Lepisosteus oculatus: one gene and its partners. The protein of the gene in region 2 purifies or fractionates together with the protein of the main gene of each other region. This does not show direct contact. Links are inferred from orthologs where the notes say so. Each region holds a gene or a part of one and is shown on either strand. Other genes may lie near its edges.

Region 1 (8,220 bases), on a different chromosome or scaffold from region 2:
AAAAAACCTTAATATCTCTTAGAATGGTGAAGCAGAACATAACCAGTTTGGAGGGACAGACATTGCCTAGATCAGGCTGTCCCTCCAAACTGAGCAGCTGGGCAAGGAAGAAAACTGGTTAGAAACACCACTGTGAGGTAAACGCTGACGCTCCACAAAGGAGTATGTATGGATCAGAAGAAAATATTTCATATCCAACACGGAGTTTGCAACAAAGCATCTAGGCGATACTGCAACCATACGGCAAATCATTGATTTGTGATTATTTTCTTCAAAATCTCTGGTCCCAATGTGGTCCGACACATCAGTGTGCAAAGTTGACAAGTCTTAATAATTAAACAATCAACATATTTTAGATTTTCCTATTTAGTTGTTGTGGATAGTTACAGTAACGTATCTTACCTTTAGAAGTCCTCAGTGTGAGTGTTCAGGTTTTGAAGACGATATTAAATTTAAAAAAGTAAACAATTTTGTGATTTTACAAAATGCGACAATATGAAAGGTGCTTTAAATCAAACCAAAAGACAGTCCGAAACTTTTACTACTTATGATAATAAACCCAAGCCAGTTTACATGTTTTGTTTGCATTTGCAAAATTGCTATCTGGCGCAAAGCTTGACACAGGAAACGAAGAAGAAAAAAAATAAGATGTACCAAAGATTAACAAGCTTCCATTATCAAAATTAACCATGATAGTGGATTAAAAAGGTTCAAAAGGTTATCAAGTACATCTACCAAAACAAGAACTTAAGGAAAACAAATAAAACATTACTCCTGGGACATTTTTTTAATAAGGAAGTAAAAAGTTAGGGGGATTCTGTTGTGAGGATCAAAATATATGAAAACATATATTTTAACAACATCTTTAAAAACTCATTATCTATGGATACACTTATTATATTTTTTTCCAACTTGACTTACCAAATGATTGGTTGGTCCTTCTCTATCCTCTTTCTTTATTTTTTCTCTTAAAATGCTTTTAGATGTAAAGCACGGTTCTTCTGGAAAAGTGAAGAAAAACATAATGCTGATATAGCCTTTTATTTTATTGTTAGAGAATATACAGTTTGAAGCTTGAAGAAGCTACCTGAAATGAATGAAAGGAAAGCAATACAAAATGCAAACAATGATAGGCTAAAAGTGTAAAATACACATAAAGGGATGTTATGTTATACTACTCTTTCAAAGTACTGTGTATTTTGGTCACCACCATGCAAAACATTTTGCTGCTCTGGAATCTGGAAAATGATATCTTAGGAAAGGGCTCCTTCAAGAAACAGCTGAACGAGATCCCTGGATCAATAAATTACTATTAATCATGGTAAATTAGTTGAATGTCCTACTCTTATATGTAGCCATTTTTCTGTTCAGAGAAGAACTGCATATTTTCACTCACACTGAGAAAGACAGCCCAGTGGACTTCAGAAAGAACAGTGAAACACAAACATTGGGACATGAATGGAGACTGATGGGAAGCTCATTTAAAACTAAGAACAGGAGGCACGTCTCTACACAAAGGATTGCGGGAGTATGGAAAAATCTACCTAGCCACAGCATTCTTTGAGAAACTTCTGGCTGAGATCTACTAAAAAACAATCAAACTAATGGACAAATGGCTTCCTCTTCTTTGTGAATTTTACGTTCTAAAACGTTTGAAGATGTAAAACTTCCGGTAACTATTCTATCACTCCAGGAATAACCCAGTGGAGTCAGCTGTACAGACCAGTGGATGAATATAAAATTATTTATAAAACTGTAAATAAAAGAATGCCAATAATTTCTTATAATTTACTGTTAAACTGACCCGCACGCCAGAAACACAATGGATAATCGGGGCAAAAAAAACTACCCAGGAAAGAGTTGCAAACTACAAAAAAGACTAAATTTAAGACCGGGAGTTACATACTAGTTAAACAAAACTGACATTTTAAGGAACGCGCAGGATCCGAGAACCCTGAAGGGGACTGGAAAAGTAGCAGTTGCCTAATAAAAAAGTGAATCATCACCTGGCTTTCCATGGCCAGTACACTGTTTAATGTTCTATAAAGGACATACTAATACAGTATCTTACAATTACGGTTGTGCTAACTATACCTTCAGTGTGTTGTTCTTGTAGGTGGAGCTCAACGTGCTCCTGCAGAATGTAACAATCGGCGCAGACGAGGGAACACATTGGACATGGGTACATCCTCTCTTTATAACAATAAGAATAAAAAAAGATTAAAATACAAAGGACACATAGTTCTGAGCAAAATAGACAACATGCCTAGCTGCTAATGCAAATTGTCTGCAAAAAGGGAAACGGAAAGACCAACTTCTTGCACTTATGCAGTCATAAACTTGAAGAAGATTCCACGCTAAGAACCTACTACAGCTTTGAAGTTCAGAGACACCAAAGTGAACAATACTGTCAATACTGTTCGGTCCTATTGTGCTACAGGTTTAGAGTACTGGATCAAAACTCCACAAAAAGCACTGAATGGGAAGAACTCTGTTAAATATCTACTTATCTATCCGATGCATCCCTAAATGCAATCTGCGTCACACTGAACGTAACTCTGTTAGCTCCTAATTCCAGGAAATGCAATCCAGACGACAAGTGTTTGCAGCAGAGTAACAAACACATACAGTAACAAACCCGGTGCCTGCTGGGAACTTCAAATCTAGAATAATGAATAAATATTCTAGAAAAAATCTAGAAGAAATAGTATTATTTATGGCACTCTTCTTATTCGTGCAAGGCCTAGCTGTTAATAAATAACTTGCAGGGTTTTTTTTTAATTTCACACTTATTTTTCCTTCTTTGATCCATAAGGAAAATGCCAGATACAGATGGTTAGGAAAGGAACTACATGAGAGACAAGCGTTATTACAACGCTGCTATACAATACCTACCTTTCTTGGGTGAATGAATGCGTTTTTGTTTTGCCTTTACTTGTGGTCCTGAGCATTCCTTCGCCACATGCTCCCGTTCGGATGTACATGCTGCGTGACTCACAACTCTTTCTGAAGCAGCCATCCCAGTTTCTCTCGGCGTTTGGGGGACTTTTGTGGATTCTCCTTGATCTTGTATTTTTAATCCATTTTCCTTCCATGTAAAAGAATCCTTTAGCACGTGTGCAGCATCCTGAGACATACCAACTACATGCTTTGAGTTCTGGGGACCTTCAGGATCGGATACTTCCATAGTGTTGTCCGTGTGGCCAGAGGTGGATGCTTCTACCACCTCTATATCCAAACCTGATTTAACCTCTTTCCGAGCGGAGGTCTCTGATAGCTCAGTGTTATTCTCTGAGTGGGCTATATCAATATGAAATAGCAGTTCATCGTAGGTCACACCTGACAGACAGCAGATCGGGCACCTAATTTCATTTTCCAAATGGCTGAGGAGGAGGTGAGTCTTCATGTCAGCTTCAGACAGCCCCTCCTCACCACAGATTTCACAAGCAAACATGATGTCAGCCTTCAATTATATCTGAAATAAAAAATAAAGCTGCGTGATCAGATCTTGCCACAGAGGTACACAATGACAAACATCTGACATCAACCTCTAATAACAAAAATAATTTACAAAAACTATAAATCCGTTAATAAAAAGCAAACAATGTAAGTGTCGTGCATTATTACACAAACCCTGACTGAACAGAACAAAAAGAAAATAAAGATTGAAAGATGACAGTATTTTAAACTTTTATAACATTATACCACGATGGGTAATATTGGTTGGTTTTAAACACTGTAATATATATTCCACAGTTCTGGCATAATTTACAAGTAGTAAGAAATCTGTGGAAAGGACACAATACGTAGAAAAGGTTAGTTCAAAATGAATTGTCATTTGTGCAGCATAAAACACGACTTTCTGTAGGCCTAGGTGTTTGTATGGACATCATTTACATATTCTTGACACTGTAAAAAGCTCTAAAAGGGCAGTAAAATGTTAAATAATACAGTCACAGCTTAGAAATCATATCAAGAGATGTTACAGAACCTTAAAATGGTACAAAGCACAAGATGTCATTTACATTAAGTGTACAGCTTTGATAACCAAATAACAAAAAAGGATATTGCTACATTGGAATCTCTCCAGAGAAGTTAAACTTAACAAATTCCTGGGTTGAAGTAATGATCTGATCTGCACTGACAGGTTTAAAGAGCTTGACTTTTTTTGTTGCTGTTCTGTTGCTGGACGTCTTCCAAATAAAAACACACAGCAGAGGACACCAGTGGAAATGCATCGTGAATTGACATGAGCTGGAGTCCGTATCTTAATAATACTATTCCCAATAGCAATATTATTTTCAGACTTTTATCCAAAGCAACTTACAGATGCTTGACAAAAGGCGTTTAACAGGAAAGGGTTTATGAAATTAAGAAATGGATTACGTATGCAAAATACAAAATACGTACGAGACTCAAGGTGCAGTTGGACCAGAGACTGCGAGGTTTCATGGTCGTTTACATAAGCACACAGTGTATATTTCGGTCCTCATCCAAAAACTAATTGAGTGTTATTCTGTTACATAAATTGTATACGTTTCAGTTAAAAAATATTGACACATGTAATCCGAAATAAGTACTTATCAGTAACTATGAATTAAAGAATAGAAAGTTTCAACAAATTCGCTCCTGTACCCGGACACCACAACATACTGTACATTGAAAATATGATGTTTTTAAAAGAAATCTCTTAAAGCTGAATCAAAACAAAACAAACAAAACAGGATTGTTGTCATTCACCGCGGCGTGAATGACAACAGTCCTGAAGAACCAAGGCCAAGAGCTAACCGGGAATAACAATGCATAACAAAGATAAAAAGAATATAAATAATTAACACTATTCCGCGCTTTTCTCCGGAAAGGTAGAGAAGCATAACAACTTAAAATCATCTTTAAAGACACCGAAAGCTCTGAAAACGGATAAAAACAGGGCAAGAAATGTGCGCTTTAATTTGCCTCGCTTCCTCACCCTTCTTTCTCGTATTTCTACCGCTTTGATCGCTGCCGCTGTACACTCACTATTGCAGCAACAACACTTGCGTTTTCATTTTCCATTCAGCCGACTCCTCTCTTCCGCACGTGAATCCCACCCGCCCGGGCAAGGCCGCGAGCCAATTGAGTGCAAATACGTCACGTCATTGGCCGTGGCCATTTGAGAACATGAAGGTGACGTAATGCGGAATCTCGACGCTTGGGAAGAAATAGACACATTAACCCTCTCTGTGCACTGTTCGTACAAAACACGCTCTGTAGCATGCTTACACTTTTATGTTATGAGTAAACCGTGCTCCGAGAGTATTCCCTGTGTTGGGAATAAGTGCTAAAGTACTCCGTCTACCTCCTGTGTGGTCAGGACGGGACTCTGGCGACTCAATGTCCCTGTGTGTAATGCTGAAGACGGAGGCATCCTAACCCAACAAGTCTATACCTCATACTTCTTTCATACTATTTCAAAATCTCGCATTGAAGTATCCGTAACGCGCGGAGATGCTTTTACTAAATCTCTGATCGGGTCAGGCCTTTAAATTATGTTCTGCTTTTATTATAACACAGTGTCCCTGTGCAATGCAGGCGTTTTCGTCTGTCAGAAAAACCTGCAGCAGTCGTGGATCCTGGATCTTACCGAGCTCCAGCGCTGATTGGCCACAATCTCCTGCTGACGGACATAAGGGGGCTGCTGGGAGTCCTCTGTGCAATTGACAGAGGTGCGCCATATTGCGCTGAACTGTGTTAGCAATCCTGGTGAGGCAGTGCTCGGAAATAGAGCTGCGCAATTACTAAGCACGCAAGGCAGTACATGGGTAAGCGCTTCCTAACCCTTACACGGTCATCGTAGTCACTTGTTTGACAAGCGGAGCATGCCGTGCTCTTTAAGGTACACGGGGGAGGCCAGGCGCCAGGCTGAAGGAGTTTCAGCTGTTTATTTACAGTTAAGGTGGCTTTCGTGGGAGGGGATGTAACTAGAAAATCTGTAGTGCCTGCAGTTCTGAGCTCCGGTGTTAGGTGGCCAGTTGGCGGAGGGTGTAGGCCCCAGAGGCTGGCAACTGGCTCGTAACCAGGCGTTTGGGGTCACTGGAAGTCCTAGACAGGCTGTGGAAGAAGATCTAAAGGTTGGCTGCGGTCTTGTATTTTACCTTGGTTTTGTTTAGTGTCTTGTGATACTCGTGAGCACGCCTGGTGCAGCCCACCTGAAGACACAGGTAACCGTGGTCTTTAAATGTGTTTGCCATTTGTCCTGGAATCTTGCCGACTTGCGTTTTTTTTAAATAAATTGTACGCGGTATGTAATTGTCTCTTTAGGTTAATGTTGAATATCGTAATTTGTACCTATTATGATCTTATCTGGTAACGTCGCCTAGCCTTAGTTCGTACCTGTGATGGGTCTGGTTTGAAGTGTATCGTAAATGTACAGTGACCGTATGAACAAATAGTTGATGGGCGATGACGGGTCAGGCAGTGATGTTTTTCGAATAAAATAATTGGCATTGCTCTAAGCGTAGGTTCGGGTTTGTGTTCTCCGCCGAGTTAACGTTATTTGGCTGACAGTTTTGGTCCATTTGTACCCATTTATATAGCTGGGCATGGGCAGGAAACAGTTCGAGTTAATGATCAGTGCGCAACATCGGTGCCTCTCCCGGAATTTGAACCCCTCAAACTACTAATAACGCTGTTTCACATTTCTACCCTTTCCAGTTCTTCTACCCAACAGTTCTCCTGTTGTTGACTGACGACACCCCTGTCATAAATTCTGCAAATGTCGCTAGCTGTTGCTGAAGGTCACTTAAGTTTAAAATGTCACTATTTTTGGTGCATTAAAGCTGTCACTTAATATTTTCACTTTGTCTATGATCTACGCTTGTAATATCTAGACTGCATTCTTCGAAGCTGAAATGGCTTTATGTATTTCAGTCAACTTGGGTATACTTTGAGTAAAATGGGGGGGAAATTACCGGTAGTGGTTTCCCAAGGTAAAAGAAAGTGAAGGTCCCAGAGTCGCTTGTGTACCAACTTGTTAAAGAATGTTCAACGCCCCCCCCCACACACACACACACCAAAAAAAACGAATGAAAGGTCTAAAAGGGAATCTTTTTTGTGGAGACTGAAATGGGATATCACTGTATTACTGCAATATGAATTGGTAACAATTCCACCATAGAGGTCTTCCCTGTAGTTTTGGTTTTTACACACATTTTACAAACGGATGTACATAGCGTTCATTGATGCCAGAATTTCAGCAAGCTTTGGCAGAGTCTTGTGTATACATGGTCTAATGCAGACTCAGTCACTGGTGGCACGTCTCTGCCACCTTCCCAGAAAACCAGCAGCGTGTCCTTTTTCGTTTGTGTTGATGCTTGCTGCATATTGTCTCTTTCATTTTCCCTGTGGCTCCCTCCTGTTTTTTTTTAACTATCTGGTGAGAAGCCATGACTCCTAATTGTTACAAGTGAGGAAGTCGTTTGTTTCTTCGCTTTCGTGATCTGTGATAACGTCAGATGTGTTGGATCAGTTTGAGTCGGGTGAATCATGTTTTGGTTTTGTAACTTTTACTTTTTACAGGATGGGGTAGTTAGTCCCACCTCGAAGTGCGATGGAGGGGCTGCCTCCTTAAAGCGTTCGACCTAAATTGATTTCTGTTAGGGTCGTCTCTCTTAGCCTTTGAGGATCCCTCCTCTGTCCACAAGGCAGTGGATCCCTGTTGGTCCGTGGGCCCTTATTCTGTATTTTTGGGCCACACTGCTGTTATGGTGGGCTCCCCCATCCGCCCCATGGGGGACACACTCTCTAGGGATTACAGGGTCCTCAAAAGATGGATAAACGATGTTGAAGACCTCAGAAAGCTGAGAGTGAGAGGATGGCGAAGACTGGTATGGGGCCGAGATGCGTGGAGGAGGCCAGGGCTCTACAAGGGCCGTAGCGCCATGCGGCTAGTTAGTTAGAGTCATGTGTTACAGTGGAAAGATGAATGGTGGTAAAGACAGTAATGATACATCTCAAACTTTCTCTTATTAATGTATGGGAAATTCGTTAAATTACCTTTTATTTCTGCTGTGTATGTACACTTGATTTACTTGTTACGTGCCCTGGGTGCTATCTGTGTGGAGCTTTGTATGGGTTTCCTCCAGGCACTCTGGTTTTCTCCCACAGTCCAAAGACACTGGTAGGTTAATTGGCTTCTGGGAAAGACTGGTCCTGGTGTGCGTGTGTGCGTGCGTGTCCCGT
Region 2 (8,220 bases):
ATAGATAACAGAAAAATATTTAAGAACTGTTCTAAGTTAATTTGAGAAAAATACACAGAGTGTCTCTGTGTTTCGCTCCCATGCGCATGAAATAAAAACTTAAAATAAATACGGAAATAAAAACGGAAAAGCGGAAAAATGCAAGCTTGCAGATTGCTTCTCACTGCAATTAGATGAGTCTGTAGTCGATTTGGCCGGTTCGTTTGCTTAGGTTAGATACGAGTTTGAGGGCACATCCCATTAGGACTTTCTGTTCTGTAAACTGCTACCAACAGGAACTACAACAGAGCACGTTTCAGCTTCTGAATGAATTTATCGAAGAGAATGGCATCGACTGGATAAAACGCATCAGAGTTTGTACAGACGGTGCTAGAGCAATGACAAGCCGACATAACGGTGTTGCACAATTTGAGAGGTTGCTTCAGAAATGAATGGACGCAATTTAACGTCCACCGCGAGACCTTTGCTGTAAAGAAAATGCCTGACGATTTAAAATCTCTAAGACTGTTGTGAATTGTATCAAGGCTCGAAAAATTAATTCACCTCTGCTTTGCTCGACTAAACAGGCTCACCCCTCTCATTGAAATGGTGCCTTTTTATTAGTTGTTGTTAGTTTTTTTTCTGTAAAACACTTTGAGAAGCCACCTTTAAAGGCGCTATATCAAATAAAGTTTATTATTATAATATTTATTATATGTATGTGTGAGTGTGTGTGCACGCGCGCTCATGTTGGTCATTGAGAATTTCTGGGGTTCCTATGAAATGATGACTTGTAGGTGGTAACTGGATGCTTTAGTTGGATTAGGGGTGGTACTTGGTCCAAAAAGTTTGAGAACCACTGCACTAATAAAAACACCCAAGAGAAGAGAGTAAGGTGCAAACGTAAGCAACACTGAAAAAGCTTTCTGTTCATTAGCTAATGATTTCAAAGGAGGAGTCTGGAATATTAAAAATTAAAGAAGATGGATATAACAGAGTGACCAAGAGCACAGGGACGGTGTGGTGGCTCTCTGGCTGGAAGGTTGCCAGTTCGTATCCCACGGCCGGCAGAGGAATCCTACTCCGTTGGGCCCCTGAGCAAGGCCCTTCACCCCAACTGCTCTAGGGGCGCTGTATAAATAGCTGACCCTGTGCTCTGACCCCAAGCTTCTCTCCCTGTCTGTGTCTCTCATGGAGAGCAAGCTGGGGTATGCGAAAAGAAATTCCTAATACAAGAATTGTATATAGCCAATAAAGCCATCTGATCTTACAAAAAACTCAGTTTTAAATCCTGCTAGGTTTGTTTGCCATTTCTCCTCTTCCAGTAGTGTGTGTTTCTACACGCCCCAAGGGGAGCACTGTGCTGAGGGTACTGGGTACTCACCGTGCCCTGTGGTCTACTGAGAAGCATGTGTGCCTGCACTACTTCCAGCATGTGTGAAGTGAACTCGTTCATGTCCTCCAGGGGCCTGACTTTGAAAGCCACCAAGCTCTTGTGGCCCTGAAGGAGAACAGGAAATCGCAAATAAAAACAAATACGGTTTTTGAAACTGGAAACTATACACTGGTATAGGATATCTCAGAAAAATTCAGGGGCTTACAAACACTGTCAGAGCTGTATATGTGTATGGCATATTAAAGATTTAAGAAGATGGAAATAACATAATGACCAAGATAACAAAAACCCTCAGTTTTAAATGCCTCTAGGTTTGTCCGCAGTTTGTCAGGACAACTGTCCAGGGCAGTGATCAGCACTGCGGCCTCGCAGGGCCCCTGGTTCAACTGCTGAGGTGCCATCAGTGTGGAGTTTTGTGTTCCCCCCGTGTCTGCATGAGATTTCCTTCAGGTGGCCTGTTTCCCGCCCGCAGTCCAATGACGCACTAGTTTGTTAATTGGCTTCTGGGAAAACTGGCTTTATTGTGAGTGTCTGCCCTGCAACACGCTGTCATCCCACGTGCCCGCTGCTAGTGGAGGGCTCCTGCTGCCTGCAACCCCCGACTGGGCGGATGGTAGAAAATGGATGGGCGGATGTAGCCAATGAAGAAGCGCGCTAGTTCCTTGTGGAGCACAGCTCTGTCTTGGTCGATCATGACAATAAAAGTGAACAGCGGGAAGGCCTTTTCTCCAGGCCAATCGGCAGAGCGTGGTGGAGTGCGGAAATTACCTGGAAAGCCCGAAGATGACCCGAAACTTTCACGTAGGTAGCAGGAGGAACCACGATGTTGTCGCTGCCCGCCTCCTGTGGGAGACCCGAAACAAACCACAGGGCATCACATTACACACAGGCAAAAGGAAACACTTAAGGTTCACAAAGATCTGCTCTTGGATGCCCCAGAATGATGCATTTTTAAATGAAATCCTCCGTTTCCAAATATCCATCATGGTAGTTCACTGATGCCTTTATCCAAGGCAGGTTACATAATCAAACGCTTTGGACAGAAAAAAAAGACTGTAAGAAAATAAAGATTTAAACTTCATAGATAGAGAAGAAGGTGTTACGGTGGTTTTTGATGGTGATCAATTGCATGTAGTGTTGGAGTTCGAGTTGGTGGCTGTATTGATATATGGACTCTTAAGATCAGTAATTTTAATTTTGTGTATCTGTTCTTGTATACTCTTTAATTGGGTACGTTAAAAGAAAGAGGAAAGTTGTTTATTTGTTCTCACGATTAGCTATATTGTACTTTTGTATATTTTTTTTAATTCCAGACTTAAAAGACAGAGATTCTTTTAACTCTTTGTTTTCTTTTTTTCTTTTTGTATACTCTGGATGATCTTGATGTTTTAAAAGAGAAAAAAAGAGCATTTAAGAGAAAATAAAGAGTCCATTATGGGGATTGGCGATTTGGAAGAAATAAAAAATAGTCAATACAAATGAGACAATTAAAAAATAATACAGGAATTCAAATATTCAAAAGTGCCGTCAATAACAAAAACAAAATAATCACAAAAAAAGAACAGTAGTAAGAACAGTACTACAAAACATCAGAAATTCTCACACCATATTGGATGCTAAGAATCTGCATTAGAAAATTCCATCCAGTTACATGAAAGATGTAATTCCAGGCAAAAGCACTTACATCGGTGTCCACCCACTGCCTGACGTCCAAGGGCGGGCCTGTCATATCGTCCACTTTGTACAGGATGTTGGTCGGAGCTTTCTCTGCGTTACGGACAATCCCCACTAATGTGACCTAGAAAACACCCAGATGGTGAACCTGCAGATCAAAATCAGCCCAGCGTTTCCCATCAGTGCAACACATGGTCCTTCACCCTCCACCCTCACAGCAAGCCTTACATTAAAGATTGCAATAAGTAATCTAAACCCTTGGTTTAACAGACTTCAGTTGTAATAAACTAAACCCGCTAAAGAAGAATTTCTCTGTAAAATTATAAATATCAGACTTTCCCCACATTAACAATGAAATACACGAATAAGAAAAAAAAAAAGAAAAAAAATACTACCCATCAGTCTCAACGATGCCCTGTAGGGGTAAGCCTATTGTTTATGATGGGTATTGTTTGTGCTTTGCTTGCTTTAGCGAATTTTATTGTCTATTTATGACACGATAAAAAATAGGTTATATAATACAAAAAAAGCACAAAAAGAATTTTCATTGACCGCGTTTGACTTGGAATCGTTCCAAGTCAAACCACCCCGAAAGCATATATATAGTATGCATATTTTTTTTCCCTCATATAATAGTGTGTTTTTAGGCAGAACAAAAACATCAACCAAGGGGTTACTGCACCAAAAGAAACGACACTCAAACGCAGCTTTTGCAGGGGACCTGATAACACCCTTAACGAGGAGCTTAACCCAAGGCAGGGCCTGGTGGGAAGCCACCCAGGTGAGCCGTAGCGGAACCTGCCCTTACCTGGGAGACCTCCACCTCGCCCACCTTGAAGACGTCCTCTGCCTGGGAGGAGGACAGCAGCTGGGAGACGGTGCAGGGGACGATCTGCTGTGTCCTCGCTCTCTGCGGCACGAGCAGAAAGAACAGGCGCCACATCAGTCCGACACATCGCAGCGGGCCAACCACACTGCCAATTAATTCAGTTAATTTAAACGAGTCAACTTAATTGGGAGCCCAAGTGGCTCAACCAGTAAAGGTGCTTGCTCCACACCCCTCGTCCCCCTGGTTGGCCTGCGTCACGGGTTCAAGCCGACTCCGGCCGTGACCAGGATGTCCCAAGTGGCCGTGCCCAACGGGAGAAGTGTCGCCAAGAGCAGGGGTGGGATGAGCCCCCCAGGGCCCCCCCCCCAGCACTGTGTTCGGTGGGTACAGGATGAACAGCTGGCCAGTCTCCGTTCACTTCACCAATGTGCACAGCAAGGCAAAGTGCAAATCTGCCGAGTCACAAGAACATTTCTGCTCCTGTGGCATGAGCCCCCGTCTTTGACTTCTACCTCAATGGAGATCAGACAGCGCATGCCAACGGGGCAGTGGCGGGTATGGGTTCCGTTTCTGCCTTCTTATTCCGGGTGCGCTTCCGGAGAATCGGTGTACTCACCGATTTCTTCTCTCCTTGCGAGGGGGCAGGAGATCCGAAGCCCCCGGGGGACTGTGTGTAACCCCCCGCCATGCTGGAGTCGCCATAACCTGCGACAGAGACCCGTTTACAGAGAGAAACCCAGCAAGTGGACCAGAAGGGTCCTGACGGCCTCACACTGCGGTGTCCACGCTCACCGGCCCTACCAGCTCTCCCTGGGAAACACCAGATCGTCTAAAGCCTAGACAGTGAGCAAGTGACCAGAGAGCTGTGGACCAGGAGTGCCCAACTCTGGTGCAGTCACTGCAGGGCTCCTCCCAGCTGAGCCAGATTGGGACACTTTAACAGATTGTCCCAGTTCTTACACCCATAATGAGATGTATAAAGCCTGCTGGACAGTGGGTACCGGCACCAGGACTGGACAGTCCTGAGCTGGACTGTGAGGCCCCAGTGGAAGAGCTCGTCCCTTCAAAGTATTGCAACTGAAACTAAACTTGCATCTAAACTCAATTCTGTACTGCAAATATCATTAAACGCCTAAATATTACCTTAAAGACCTTAAAAACAGTGCTGTCGTTTTACTTACTGGACGCATAAATCTTGTCAGTACTATGGGTACCTGTAATTAGATGCTGTAACGAGCTTTCAGAACAGGTCTTGTTACTACTACTGTATTTACGTACATAAGCAAGAACAGTTCTGACCCATACCTGTGACTCACATTCAACTACCAAGTTCACGGTAATAATTACATTTCTCTTTGGATTTTCAAACTTATCTCGAAGTATTTGGTTAGCAAATCGAGTGGAAACGGATAACGGTCTTCTTTCAGTGTTTTGTAGCATCCTGTATAATAAAGCTTAAGTGAAAATTAAAAGATAAACCGCTTTACATTTTTTAGGTAAATCAAACTAAATTTCAAATTCTTGCTCATCAAAACAAACCGCGGTCCAACATGCAGCTTAATCCAGAAATCAGATGTTAAAACAAGCGTCAGCGCTTGTTTTACAACGAACAAGGTTAACACCTCTTACCTTGGTTCCACATGATTAGAATATATTAAAACAATACTGAGAACAACAAAAAAAAATACTATTAGTAGCTCAAAAGTTTTGGTTATATCAGACACCTGGAGCAGAATTCTTCCTCTACGTTTTAAGCGCGCCACAACACCAGACACAAAGCTCACAGCACATGCGCCATAAACTCCCGCGAACTCCTTTGCCCAATCAGCGACGACAGCGCTCTCTGACGTCAGCCCAGGACACTATTTTGCCAACACTTGCCTTCATTTCTCACGGAAGTATGCAGGGGTACGTAGAACAGAGCGGGTAGCCATACTTACTGAGGGAAAGACGGCAGGCGAAATGAAAAGTGGTGTTCTTAGGCAAAATAATTTATTTAGCTTTTAGGCTCGATAATTGTTAGTGCATATTTCTCCAGACCAAAGTCTGGCAGGACCAACTTTAAAAAAAAAATGTTTTTCATAAGTATATTACTGGACTTCCCAGAGCTTACACTAGAGGACACTGCTTACATACATTGGACGGAAAATCCAAGAGAATCCGATACTGTGAGCTGAGTACAGGCGTAGACTGTCGGCCTGAATTATTACGATGGTAATAATTCCTTCCATTTATAGAGCGCTTTTCTGGACACTTCACTCAAGGTGTTTTCCAGGTAGTGGGGACTCCCCTCCACCAATGTGTATCCTCATCTAGATGATGCGACACCAGCCAGAGTGCACCAGTTCGCTCCCCACACACCAGCTCTCAGTGGGGAGGAGAACAGTGATGCAGTTCATAGATGGGGATTAATAGGAGGCCATGATTGGTAAGGGCCAATGGGAAATTTGGCCAGGACACTGAGGTAACACCCCTACTCTTTTCGAGAAACACTCTTTTTAATGACCACAGAGAGCCAGGACCACAGTTTTACATCTCATCTGAAAAGAAGGCACCTTTTTTACAGTATAGTGTCCCCGTCACTATACTGGGACATTAGGACCCACACAGACCGCAGGGTGAGCGCCCCCTGCTGACCCTACTTACACCTCTTCCAGCAGCAACCTTAGTTTTTTGCAGGAGGTCTCCCATCCAGGTAATTTAATCTCTTCTGCTGGAAAACCCTTCACTGACCCTCATGTATCAATGATACGTTTGCCTCTTTAGGAATATCAGTACAATAAATCTGAAGAAAAGCAAAACTAATCAGTTCTCAGTATTCACAACTGAGGTCAACGTTTTTTCAATTAAACTCAAAGTTTTTTTGAGTAAAATGTATTTAAAAGAGGTTTGTTATGCTGTTGTAGAGAACATCTACTCGAATCCAAGTATACATTTTTAACATGTTATTTCAATTTATTTGATCATCTCTTCAATCATACCGATTTTTAAACACACTTACAATGTTTCGGGAGTGTGTTTCTGTAGTACACATCTGTGCTATCTGTTTAATGTAACAATAATATGACAATAATTCATTCTGTCATTTGGTTAACTGCAGACATATTTAAAGATGTATTTTTTTCAAGAAATTTCCTTCTTCATTAGGAGTCAGAGCTTCTAATTCTCAGTTTTTCTTTCATTTTGTTGCAAATGGTGACTGGCCTTTTATGAACACTGAACTCTGGGTCTGTGTCACAGTGTTTACCAATTCCCTCAATCCTCAGTGGATTTTTGGCATCTTTGGGAAGCCTGAGGGCTGCAGAAAACATCTGGGAAACATCTGCGATTCATTACAGCTCAAGGGCTTCTGCAAATGCCATGGGAACGAGCTATTTTTAAAAATTGCATTCAGGAGAATGGAATAGTTGTTATTGAGTGTGTTTCCTTTTGGCTCAATTGGCAAGGTAAGATGAGAAAATGGCTTTCATTGCTTGTAGTGGACTTTAATTCTTCTGACTAAGCAAATTCAAGTTATCTTCTCTTGCACTTTTCATTAATTACAGGTGTGTACAATTTGGCTTGCTAAAATGAAAATTATATTTGTATATAACTATCAAAAGCTAAAGAAAAAGAGCTGTCCGTGTTTCTCATTCTTCAGAGATAGTAGCTCTTTAACGGAAAGCCAAATGTGGCCTAGAATGTGGTTTTCCTATATTTGTTAAGGAATGCTTGAAGATAGATGTTAATGCTGTACTAAACTAACCGTAGCCATTTTATCTAATCATTCTTTGAAATACAAATAGGTTTAAATATAAGATTTTGTTCTGAAAAATACAAGGTCTTAATGAATCCAAAATCATTCATCACCTATTTTTCTAGTTTTTCTCAGTTCTGTATAATGACCAAGATTTGCATTTGAGCGTTTGTGGCTGTTGCTTTAATGAACAGAGACTTTCTCATCTATAATAAGTCAGCAGTCTGTAATAACTAACCTTTCTTTAACTCAAGAACACTCCATTTGAGCGCCAACAGTGGAGGCTCTGTAACCGAAAGAAGCTTTGGAGTATTAAAATGAAAACACAGGAAATTAGGAGTCAGAAATAAAGGATGCAAAGGAGCACAGGTCACGTTTCTATAGGAAATGTGGAGATCTGCTAAAATTAGCTGAGACTGGAGGTTTGGCTTGGTATGTGAGGGAGTATAGTATGACTTTGTCCGGAGGAAATGGAAAATTAATAATGAAACGTGGACAAAAAGCTTTTCCAATCAGCTGCTTCCACTAAAGGGAGAAAGAAAGGGCCTGAGTCCGGCCACTTTTGTGTACAACTGCAGCCCTCGCACACAAAGAAGCTAAGATGCA
Region 3 (8,220 bases), on a different chromosome or scaffold from region 2:
CTGAAAAAGGCTCCGCAGCCGAAACGTTGTGTTCTCTTTTCAGCATGGTATAAACCTTTACTTGTTCCTTAGTTAAGCCAGAATACTGTGATCTTACACAATGGAGCTCAATTCTGATCTTTCAATTTGACTGTACTGTGTAACCTGCTGAAGAGAGAGTATTTATCCAAACAACCGCTGCAAACCTTTCAAGCAATTTCTCAAGGAGGTGCAATTGCTGTTGAAATCCAGACATCTCTGGGGTTTTTTTCTGAATCACCTTTCTTTTCTTTATATGTGATTGAGCTAAGCCCCTGTTAAAGAACACCACAGTAAATTTAACATGAGCAAGTGTTTCAGTTCTAGACCTTACCTTGAGCTGAACTTTCACAAATGCGCTAACCCCAACGTAGAACTTGCCATTGATGAGGTCCACAAAATCTAAAGAAGTTGCAGAACAGAAAAACCAATTAAAAAACTCTCGAGGGCAAATGTTGAAAAAAGGCAGAGATTAAAATTTAAGGTAGGTCTATGTTGCACATTTAACTTCAGGCTTACATTAACTGAGGTTACATTTAACCAATCATGAGTGCAATATGATCTAAACAATTATTTTACAGTATTTCTTTTGCTTTTTACTCTACTTTTACTCTACTTGTACAGTTTGTTTTACTTTATTATTATTTTAACTACTTAGATTTGTGTTTGCCATGTTAACTAAGCTAACCCACAGATAGCTCTTCAATAGCGTGTGGTAGGACGCATACTGTTCATTTAATTTTAAGCATATTAATATTATAAACCTCAGAAAAGAAGCATTATTCACTAGTACGCCTTGCATTATTTCAGAGAAGCTTTTTTTTTTGCAGGATCAGGTAATTTGCATGTCACTCTCAAAAGGCAACAACATCATTACTTAGAACAGACTCAAGAAGATACAAATCAATAATTTAGATAAGTCTAAACTGTAAAACATGCTCCTGTAACAGAGCTCAGTGACACTTAACATGCGGAGTTGTAATTATTGCATTATATTAAGCTGTCCGCCTTCCCAGTGTTAAAAGCAACCATACAACTAACCTATCTTTTGGCAATTTACAGATGTAGTTTTTTGGTTCTGATTAAATAAGAATATATAAACAATCTTGTCCATTTAAAGACACATATAACACATATACGGTACTTTCATGCAGGGATTTCCTTCTTCCAAATGTATCTGTTTTGCGTGCGGGTAAAAAACAAAGCTTTGAACCCAGGTCTCCAGGAAACAGGACTGATGGCCTCAGCTCACATCAGGGCAATTGGGAATTTCTTAAGTATGAATACTCTAAATCACATCAGAAAGGCTCAACATTTGTAGCATACCAATATTCTGCTGAGAGATGCTGTGGGACCATCCGTTATAACCAAACATCTCATTGGCCAGACTTATAACCTTGTGGCCTTCAATGTAACACACCTGTAACAAGAAATGAAAAAAAAATAGCCAGATTTCCCTTCTAATGAAGTCCTGGAAATCTAAAGGCAAATGTGTTTGTTTAATAACATCACAAGGCTGAATTTTAGCAGTTTGTTTTCTATGAGGTTCCAAAAAAGGCAAATCTTAGTATTTTCATCATCACTTTATTAACCCTTTACAATTTCTTGCATGAGGAATGTGTCTTTTCGCAGACCCCAGCTTGCTCTCCATGAAACACCCAGACAGGGAGAGAAGCTGGGGGTCAGAGCACAGGGTCAGCTATTGTACGGCCCCCCTGGAGCAGTTGGGGTGAAGGGCCTTGCTCAGGGGCCCAATGGAGTAGGATTCCTCTGCCGGCCGCAGGATTTGAACCGGTAACCTTCCAGCCACAGGCGCAGATCCTGAGCCACAGAGCTTTCTCAACTTTGTTGTACAGTACAGCACAACATATGTGCTTCTAGGGCATAGGTTTTCTTGCAGTAAAGCATTTTTATTGTTCAGTCGTGTGTCGGCCAGGTTGTATGTTAGCTTTTAAAAATAGCTAAAAAAAAATTCTTAGAAAATGTTCTAAAAACAACAAGAACCTCGTTCGTGTTAAATCAGCTGTCAGAAGGCTCCAGGGCTGAAACGTTGTGTTTTCTCCCTTCTCGTTTTTCAGCATGGAATAAACCTATTACTTTTTCCTATGTTCCTTTTAAGACTTTTAATGGGCTGCACGCAGAATACATGCAACCTTGCACATCTAGGCCCAAGCTAGACGAAGCCTACAAAGCATCGTATCTAATGCTTGCTTTTCACAGAAACATACAGTATATGAACTTCGAGACACATGTAACATACAGTATATGAACTTCCACCCTGATTCCATCTAAACCCCCTTCATTCGGTGTTTGTGCCACTTGAACTCCAGCTTTTAGGAATAACATTTAACTGTCTACAGTTCTATCTATATATAGGCATTCTGCTTTAACACAATTTAACCTTTTTTCATACTACCAGGCTTCTTGGCCTGGTGCAGCTTTTATGACAACTCATGGAGTCCATGAGTTACTAAGAACTAGAAGAACAACAGGGACAAAATGACCCTCTCTCATCTCTGAAACCTCTGTATTTTTAACGTATGATGTGGTACAGATAGCCTTGGCTCTGTCAATTTTTATGTTTGTTATGCAGTATGTAGTAAAGCAAAAAGAGAGTGAAATGATTCTGGAGACGAGAGCACAGCACGTCAAAATTGCACCCTGCTCCAGTACATGAAAGCAAAAAACGTACCTTTTGTCCCCCTCCAGCCTGTCTGGTACTAATGTATTCTGGTCCCAGCTTCTGTCGCAATGCATTCTGGACAGCTTGGTATTCCTCTGCAGTGTACTGGTACTGGAGAGATCAAAAACACGCAGAGCTGACGTCCTCGTCTCCAGCAGAAATAAAACAACACAGTGGGACATTTCCCTAGGCTTCACAGAAGATGTGTTTTTGGAGTAATGTGTAAACCATCCATCCATTTTGTTACCTCTTCTTTCAATACAGGGTTGCTGGCGAGCCAGAGCCTATCCTGGCAAGCATTGGGCACAAAGGCTACACTCAGACTGAACGCCAGCTCACTGCAGGGCTCACACACACTCACACCAGGGCCAATGTTCGAAGAAACCAATTAATCCACCAGTAAGATGTCTCTGGACTGCGGGAGGAAACCAGAGCACCCAGTGGAAAAGCATGCAAAATAGGGGTTTACATACAAACTCCTCACAGACAGCACCCAGAACAGGCAGCAATGCTAACCACTGAACACTTTTTTTTAATCATCCAACACCCGCCTTCATACCGGGGTATACGACAGCAATAATTTAATCATTAGGACAATATAACACGCGGAGTCTCGGCAAAAGTGCTTAAATTGTGTTGACGGACCTGTCCGAAATACATGGAGTTAGTGTTTGTGCTTCTGCAACCGCTGTGAGCCGTGTTATCGTGCGTCATGTCCTCTCCGTCCTCCAGGGTTTCATTTTATGCACGCTTAAACGAGATAATTCAGTAATAAAACACGAGTAATCAAACCAGCAGTGAGGGTTAAATTAAAAAAAAAAGAAAACACCTAAAATATGCATTTCATCAATCCAATCATTTTCCATCATCTTTAAATTTTGAGGTATATTGATCCACAAACACAAGCTTGGAAAGGGTCTTTCTCGTTGCAACTTACTAAAATGTCAAATCTTGTGCAGATCTGTGCACGTTCAACTCTTTTGGCAGGATAACTCACGCCTAAAACAAGATGCGCACTGCTGACAACGTAAAATCTACATTTAAAGGCGATGACTTTTAACTAAAAAAAAATGCTGGACTTCATGCAAGATATCAATGCAATGTTTTATCGTCACTGATGCACGCATTCCTTTATCTCCCAAGAAATCAGCGTATGTGGTTAAAAATAAAATATACGAGGAGTCTAAAATACTAAATATGCAGATAAACCCGAAAACTCTTACTACGGCAGCACCAGCTCTTGACTAGTCAAAAGTAAACTTTTTCATAACTTCCCGGCAGACATGACAGTTTCCTGTGAGGGTTGCATGCTGGGATCCAGAGCGATCACAGCATTTCATTTACCGCCGCCATATTTGTACAGGCATAGAGGAATTTCTCATTTACACAGATATTGTGCTGTATATTCGCCTTCCCATCTAAAAATTTAATTAGAATTTGCAAATTAACTTTATAAAATACACTTTACTCTTTTAACATATTATTTTTTTTCTTTAATCAGTAAACTGTCTAAAGAATCATACCTGATATATGATCTACACTCACACATGCCAATGGTCCTCTTATAAAATCATATGAGCAAAGCTCTGCCACTTTCCTAACACTGGCAACTGATAGAAACTTCTTGCAGGTCTCAGTGACTTTCATATGGAAGTTGTCAATGTATCATCTGAACTAGGGGTACATTTAAACAATTTAGAAAGTATGTAGCATTGGTCTGCTCTCTACAGTATCCCAGGGACACTTTTGGCTGAACATGAGCCTTTCCTTTTGTATCCCAGTAGAACTAGCTTGACCACCCAGATACAGTACCAATGACTTCCAACTTTTGCACGAGGAAAGTATTCTTGGTAATACATCCAGTTGATCTATTCTGAGTTAATAACCGATTGATTGAAGTTTGCTGGCAGTCACTATTTTAAATCATCAGGGCATTGAAGAGTTGGAATCTTTTCCTATATTCTGAAAACTGTTGATCTGAGATCTCTGCATTATTTTGATAAGTAGTAAAAAAACAAATGTTCTGTACTGGTTTTAATAGGGTTAATGTCAGGGTTAAATTTTTCACTCAATATCATATTTATGTACAAATTGTGGATCTGACCATAATTAAAAACAGGGTTATGTTCCATGTTGTGGCCTGTGCCTATTGACTTTGGCTCTGAGTCACTGGTGAGTGGATGATGCCAGCTAAGATTCAAATTTAAAGTTCGAAATTTTCACAAGACTACAGAGGCTGTGGACAGTATTAGACTGGTCCCAGAGATTGCTGTGGCAGGCCAACAGTGATGAGCAAAGTAGTTTTCGCTGACCTGCCATTAGAGCTAATCGAGGTCTCTATTGTTGGTATATTGTAAGTTCACATGAGGTGCATTGTTTGATTAATAGGATAATTGGTGAAGGGCTGAGAGCCAAATATCCACGTGGGGTTGATTTAGTTTGGTTTAGTATACAGTATAATGGGAGTCAAATGGGTTTGCTTGAGAGTAAGTCTTTAGTGGTGATCCAAGCTTATGCTTTTTGTTCTTCAGGATGAAGTCTTCCAGCATGTTGTTTTTGCTGGCTGTTGTGGTTTCCGTATGCTCAGACTAAGCTAGTAGGAAGATCATTCAGATAGGTTCTGAGGTGTCAAGCCATGTAGATCCACCAGTTTAGAGGCCTGGCACAACAGTATGTGTGATGGCACAACGTTGTGTAAATTGAATTAGGGTTGTTGAGATCTCTTCTCTTTTGACTTGTTGCAACGTTTTAGAATCCAGGGGAGTTTAAGGTGGCATTTTAGCAAACTTTTACATTTTTATATTTGAAAATTGGTGTTATACCAGGTCCCCAGCTGCTACTTCATCTTTTGAAAGTAGTCTTCCTCATGCTTCTGACAAAGCCAGTAGTGGAACAAAGTTGAGAGTTTTACTTTTGCTCATTTACTTTTGTTTTTGAAGCCCTGGCCTTAAACTCATAGTGTAGAAGTATTTTCCAAGTAGTCTATGAAAGTAAGACAAAGGAAGATGGGACAAATTAGCACAAAGAAACACAGGAGATTAGAAAATTAGTAGGAGAATCAAGGAATAGACACAGATGCCCATTAAATACACAGAAGAAGAAGGTTTTGAGCTTGGATTTGAATGGTGACTCATATCATTCAGGATGGCATTCCAGAGCTTCTGGGCAGAATAAGAGCTGGCCTTGTCACCCATAGAGTGTAAATGAGCTTTTGGGACAAGCAGCAGACCAGATGAAAGAAGGTTATTATGAGGTGTGGAGTTGGAAAATAATTCAGATTGGTTCTCAGGTGCCGAGCCATATAAATGAGCATGAGGATTCTGAAGTCCACACAAAATCTGAAGTCTATCAAAGGTTTCTTCGTGGATCCTGAAGTAAATGTTTTCTGTTCATCCAGGCTTATGCTATTTATGTGATGATGAACTAAAATGTTCATGAGAAGCCAAGAATCAAAAACCTTGGTAATCTTGGAAACCATGGGCTCAGTTTTTTGAAAAAAAAAAAATGCAATACTCCTCCAACCTACTGTAAGACATTAGAATATAGTGCATACATACTGCAGGTAGAGCTATTTTAACACTTTTCTTTAAGTCATTTATAGAAAGTGACTTAATATATTGTCTCACCTGTTGGTTTAGCAACATCAGTACCTTTAACTGGCTGGGGAATTTTATTAAATTAAGTAGCGAGATAATGGGGCTAAATCAAATCCAGTTATACATCCTCTGCAACTGAAAGGTTGTAAAGAAGGCCAAGAGCTTTATGAAGTGCGTCTCATCTCCTCCCTTATGCATTTACAGTACTCCCATCTGAGAGACACCCCAGATGTAAAAGCCACAGAATCAGGAAGTTGTTCATCCTCGCTGCAATTCAATTCAAGGTGCTTTATTAGCATGACCGATGGGTACAATCAGTGTTGCCAAAGCAAATAAAAATAATAAAATTAACATGCAACGAAACAAAAAATAAAAGTAAAATAAAATCTACAGACATATTAAAGGCATTTACAACAGAGACATATCATAAAATTTACATATATTGTAAACATATGGAGCATTACTGGGAGACAGACTCACTGTTCCTCAGGCTGTGACAGGAGATCACATATTGGGCTGCCAGTTCAACTGAGTTCCCTCCTCCCTCTCCCAGTAGAATATATCACTCTCAAACAATCAAGTAACTCTCTTCTCTCTTATCTCCTATAACACTATTGTTTTCTGTTTTGTCTTCCTTGTTCTATTGAATTGTACCATAAAACAATTTGGGCCAGAGGATATTAAATTGAAAGTAAAAGATATTGCCATTGCAGCACTGTAGTCAAATCTCAAATCTGCCACCAGAGGGCATTCAAATCCTATTGATAAAGCCCATTCTAAACCTTTCAGGCCAAAAATAGCTCTTGGGAACTGAGGAAACCAATTCACTCACGTACAGAAACTGGTATTGAAACAAACTTTTGTTGTTACTTAACGCATTGTATTTTTTTGTATATTGTTACAAACAGGGGGAAATAACAGAGAAAATCAGGAATTGAACAAGTGACTAAGTGTAAAATAATCATAAGCCCCTACTTGTAAATAGTTTTTCCAAGGACATACCTGAGCGGTTGCTATGATTAGAGACATGTGTCCCAGAGGTCTAATGCCCTAACCACCCCCCAAAAAAACCCAGACTGTTACCAAGTATTAGAATCCTTATATAATAATAAAAAGAATAATTGCTTACACTTATATAGCGCTTTTTTGGACACACCACTCAAAGCGGTTTACAGGTAATGGGGACTCCCCTCCACCACCACCAATGTGCAGCATCCACCTGAAAAGCTCACCACACATCAGCTATCAGTGGGGAGGAGAGCAGAGTGATGAAGCCAGTTCATAGATGGGGATTATTAGGAGGCCATGATTGATAAGGGCCAATGGGAAATTTGGCCAGGACGCCGGGGTTACACCTTTACTCTTTGCGAGAAACGCCCTGGGATTTTTAATGACCACAGAGAGTCAGGACCTCGGTTTTACGTCTCATCTGAAGGACGGCGCCTGTTTACAGTATAGTGTCCCCGTCACTATACTGGGGCATTAGGACCTACATAGACTGCAGGGTGAGCGCCCCCTGCTAGCCCCACTAACACCTCTTCCACCAGCAACCTTAGTTTTCCCCGGAGGTCTCCCATCCAGGTACTGACCAGGCTCACACCTACTGTACTTAGCTTCAGTGGGCTCCCAGTTGTGAGTTGCAGGGTGATATGGCTGCTGGCAGTATATAATATCTCCAAAGGCCAAAATAAGAGATATACTGCCGTCTAAACTAAATAGAATATAACCTGTAGTCAAATTTCTCTCTGTAAACCCAGATGTCACTAAAACGCATGGAAACTTATCTCCCTATTCTAAAAATGCACTCACTAACCAGGAGAGGCTTTTCTTAACCAAGGGATTCTTCATGCAGGAAATCAGAGTTCCCTAAAATCCACAGAATAATAAGCTCTCTTAACAGGGTTCAAATACTTAGCCCCAATC

The links.
Region 1: the proteins of rpa2 (region 2) and zufsp purify together in Homo sapiens (affinity purification with western blotting; 3 studies listed by BioGRID, with this or other methods). This does not show direct contact. The link is inferred for Lepisosteus oculatus from reciprocal best matches to the Homo sapiens genes RPA2 and ZUP1.
Region 3: the proteins of rpa2 (region 2) and rad52 purify together in Homo sapiens (affinity purification with western blotting; 3 studies listed by BioGRID and IntAct, with this or other methods). This does not show direct contact. The link is inferred for Lepisosteus oculatus from reciprocal best matches to the Homo sapiens genes RPA2 and RAD52.

Annotation. Positions count from the first base shown.
Region 1 is NC_090697.1:32,626,387-32,634,606, forward strand, and holds the start of zufsp (zinc finger-containing ubiquitin peptidase 1), read right to left. Parts: upstream 5,674-8,220; 5' UTR 5,624-5,673; intron 5,131-5,623; exon of another isoform or gene 4,970-5,130; intron 3,476-4,969; 5' UTR 3,455-3,475; coding exon 2,896-3,454; intron 2,194-2,895; coding exon 2,095-2,193; intron 1,002-2,094; coding exon 922-1,001; intron 1-921. Other genes in the region: kpna5 (importin subunit alpha-6), read left to right, coding at 5,798-5,801. UniProt on the Homo sapiens protein: Deubiquitinase with endodeubiquitinase activity that specifically interacts with and cleaves 'Lys-63'-linked long polyubiquitin chains. Shows only weak activity against 'Lys-11' and 'Lys-48'-linked chains.
Region 2 is NC_090706.1:4,813,418-4,821,637, forward strand, and holds the start of rpa2 (replication protein A 32 kDa subunit), read right to left. Parts: upstream 5,669-8,220; 5' UTR 5,521-5,668; coding exon 5,508-5,520; intron 4,584-5,507; coding exon 4,495-4,583; intron 3,960-4,494; coding exon 3,858-3,959; intron 3,174-3,857; coding exon 3,060-3,173; intron 2,219-3,059; coding exon 2,144-2,218; intron 1,481-2,143; coding exon 1,364-1,480; intron 1-1,363. UniProt on the Homo sapiens protein: As part of the heterotrimeric replication protein A complex (RPA/RP-A), binds and stabilizes single-stranded DNA intermediates that form during DNA replication or upon DNA stress.
Region 3 is NC_090702.1:4,912,520-4,920,739, reverse strand, and holds the start of rad52 (DNA repair protein RAD52 homolog), read right to left. Parts: upstream 4,009-8,220; 5' UTR 3,925-4,008; intron 3,919-3,924; exon of another isoform or gene 3,639-3,918; intron 3,452-3,638; 5' UTR 3,416-3,451; coding exon 3,347-3,415; intron 2,813-3,346; coding exon 2,711-2,812; intron 1,439-2,710; coding exon 1,345-1,438; intron 421-1,344; coding exon 353-420; intron 1-352. UniProt on the Homo sapiens protein: Involved in double-stranded break repair. Plays a central role in genetic recombination and DNA repair by promoting the annealing of complementary single-stranded DNA and by stimulation of the RAD51 recombinase.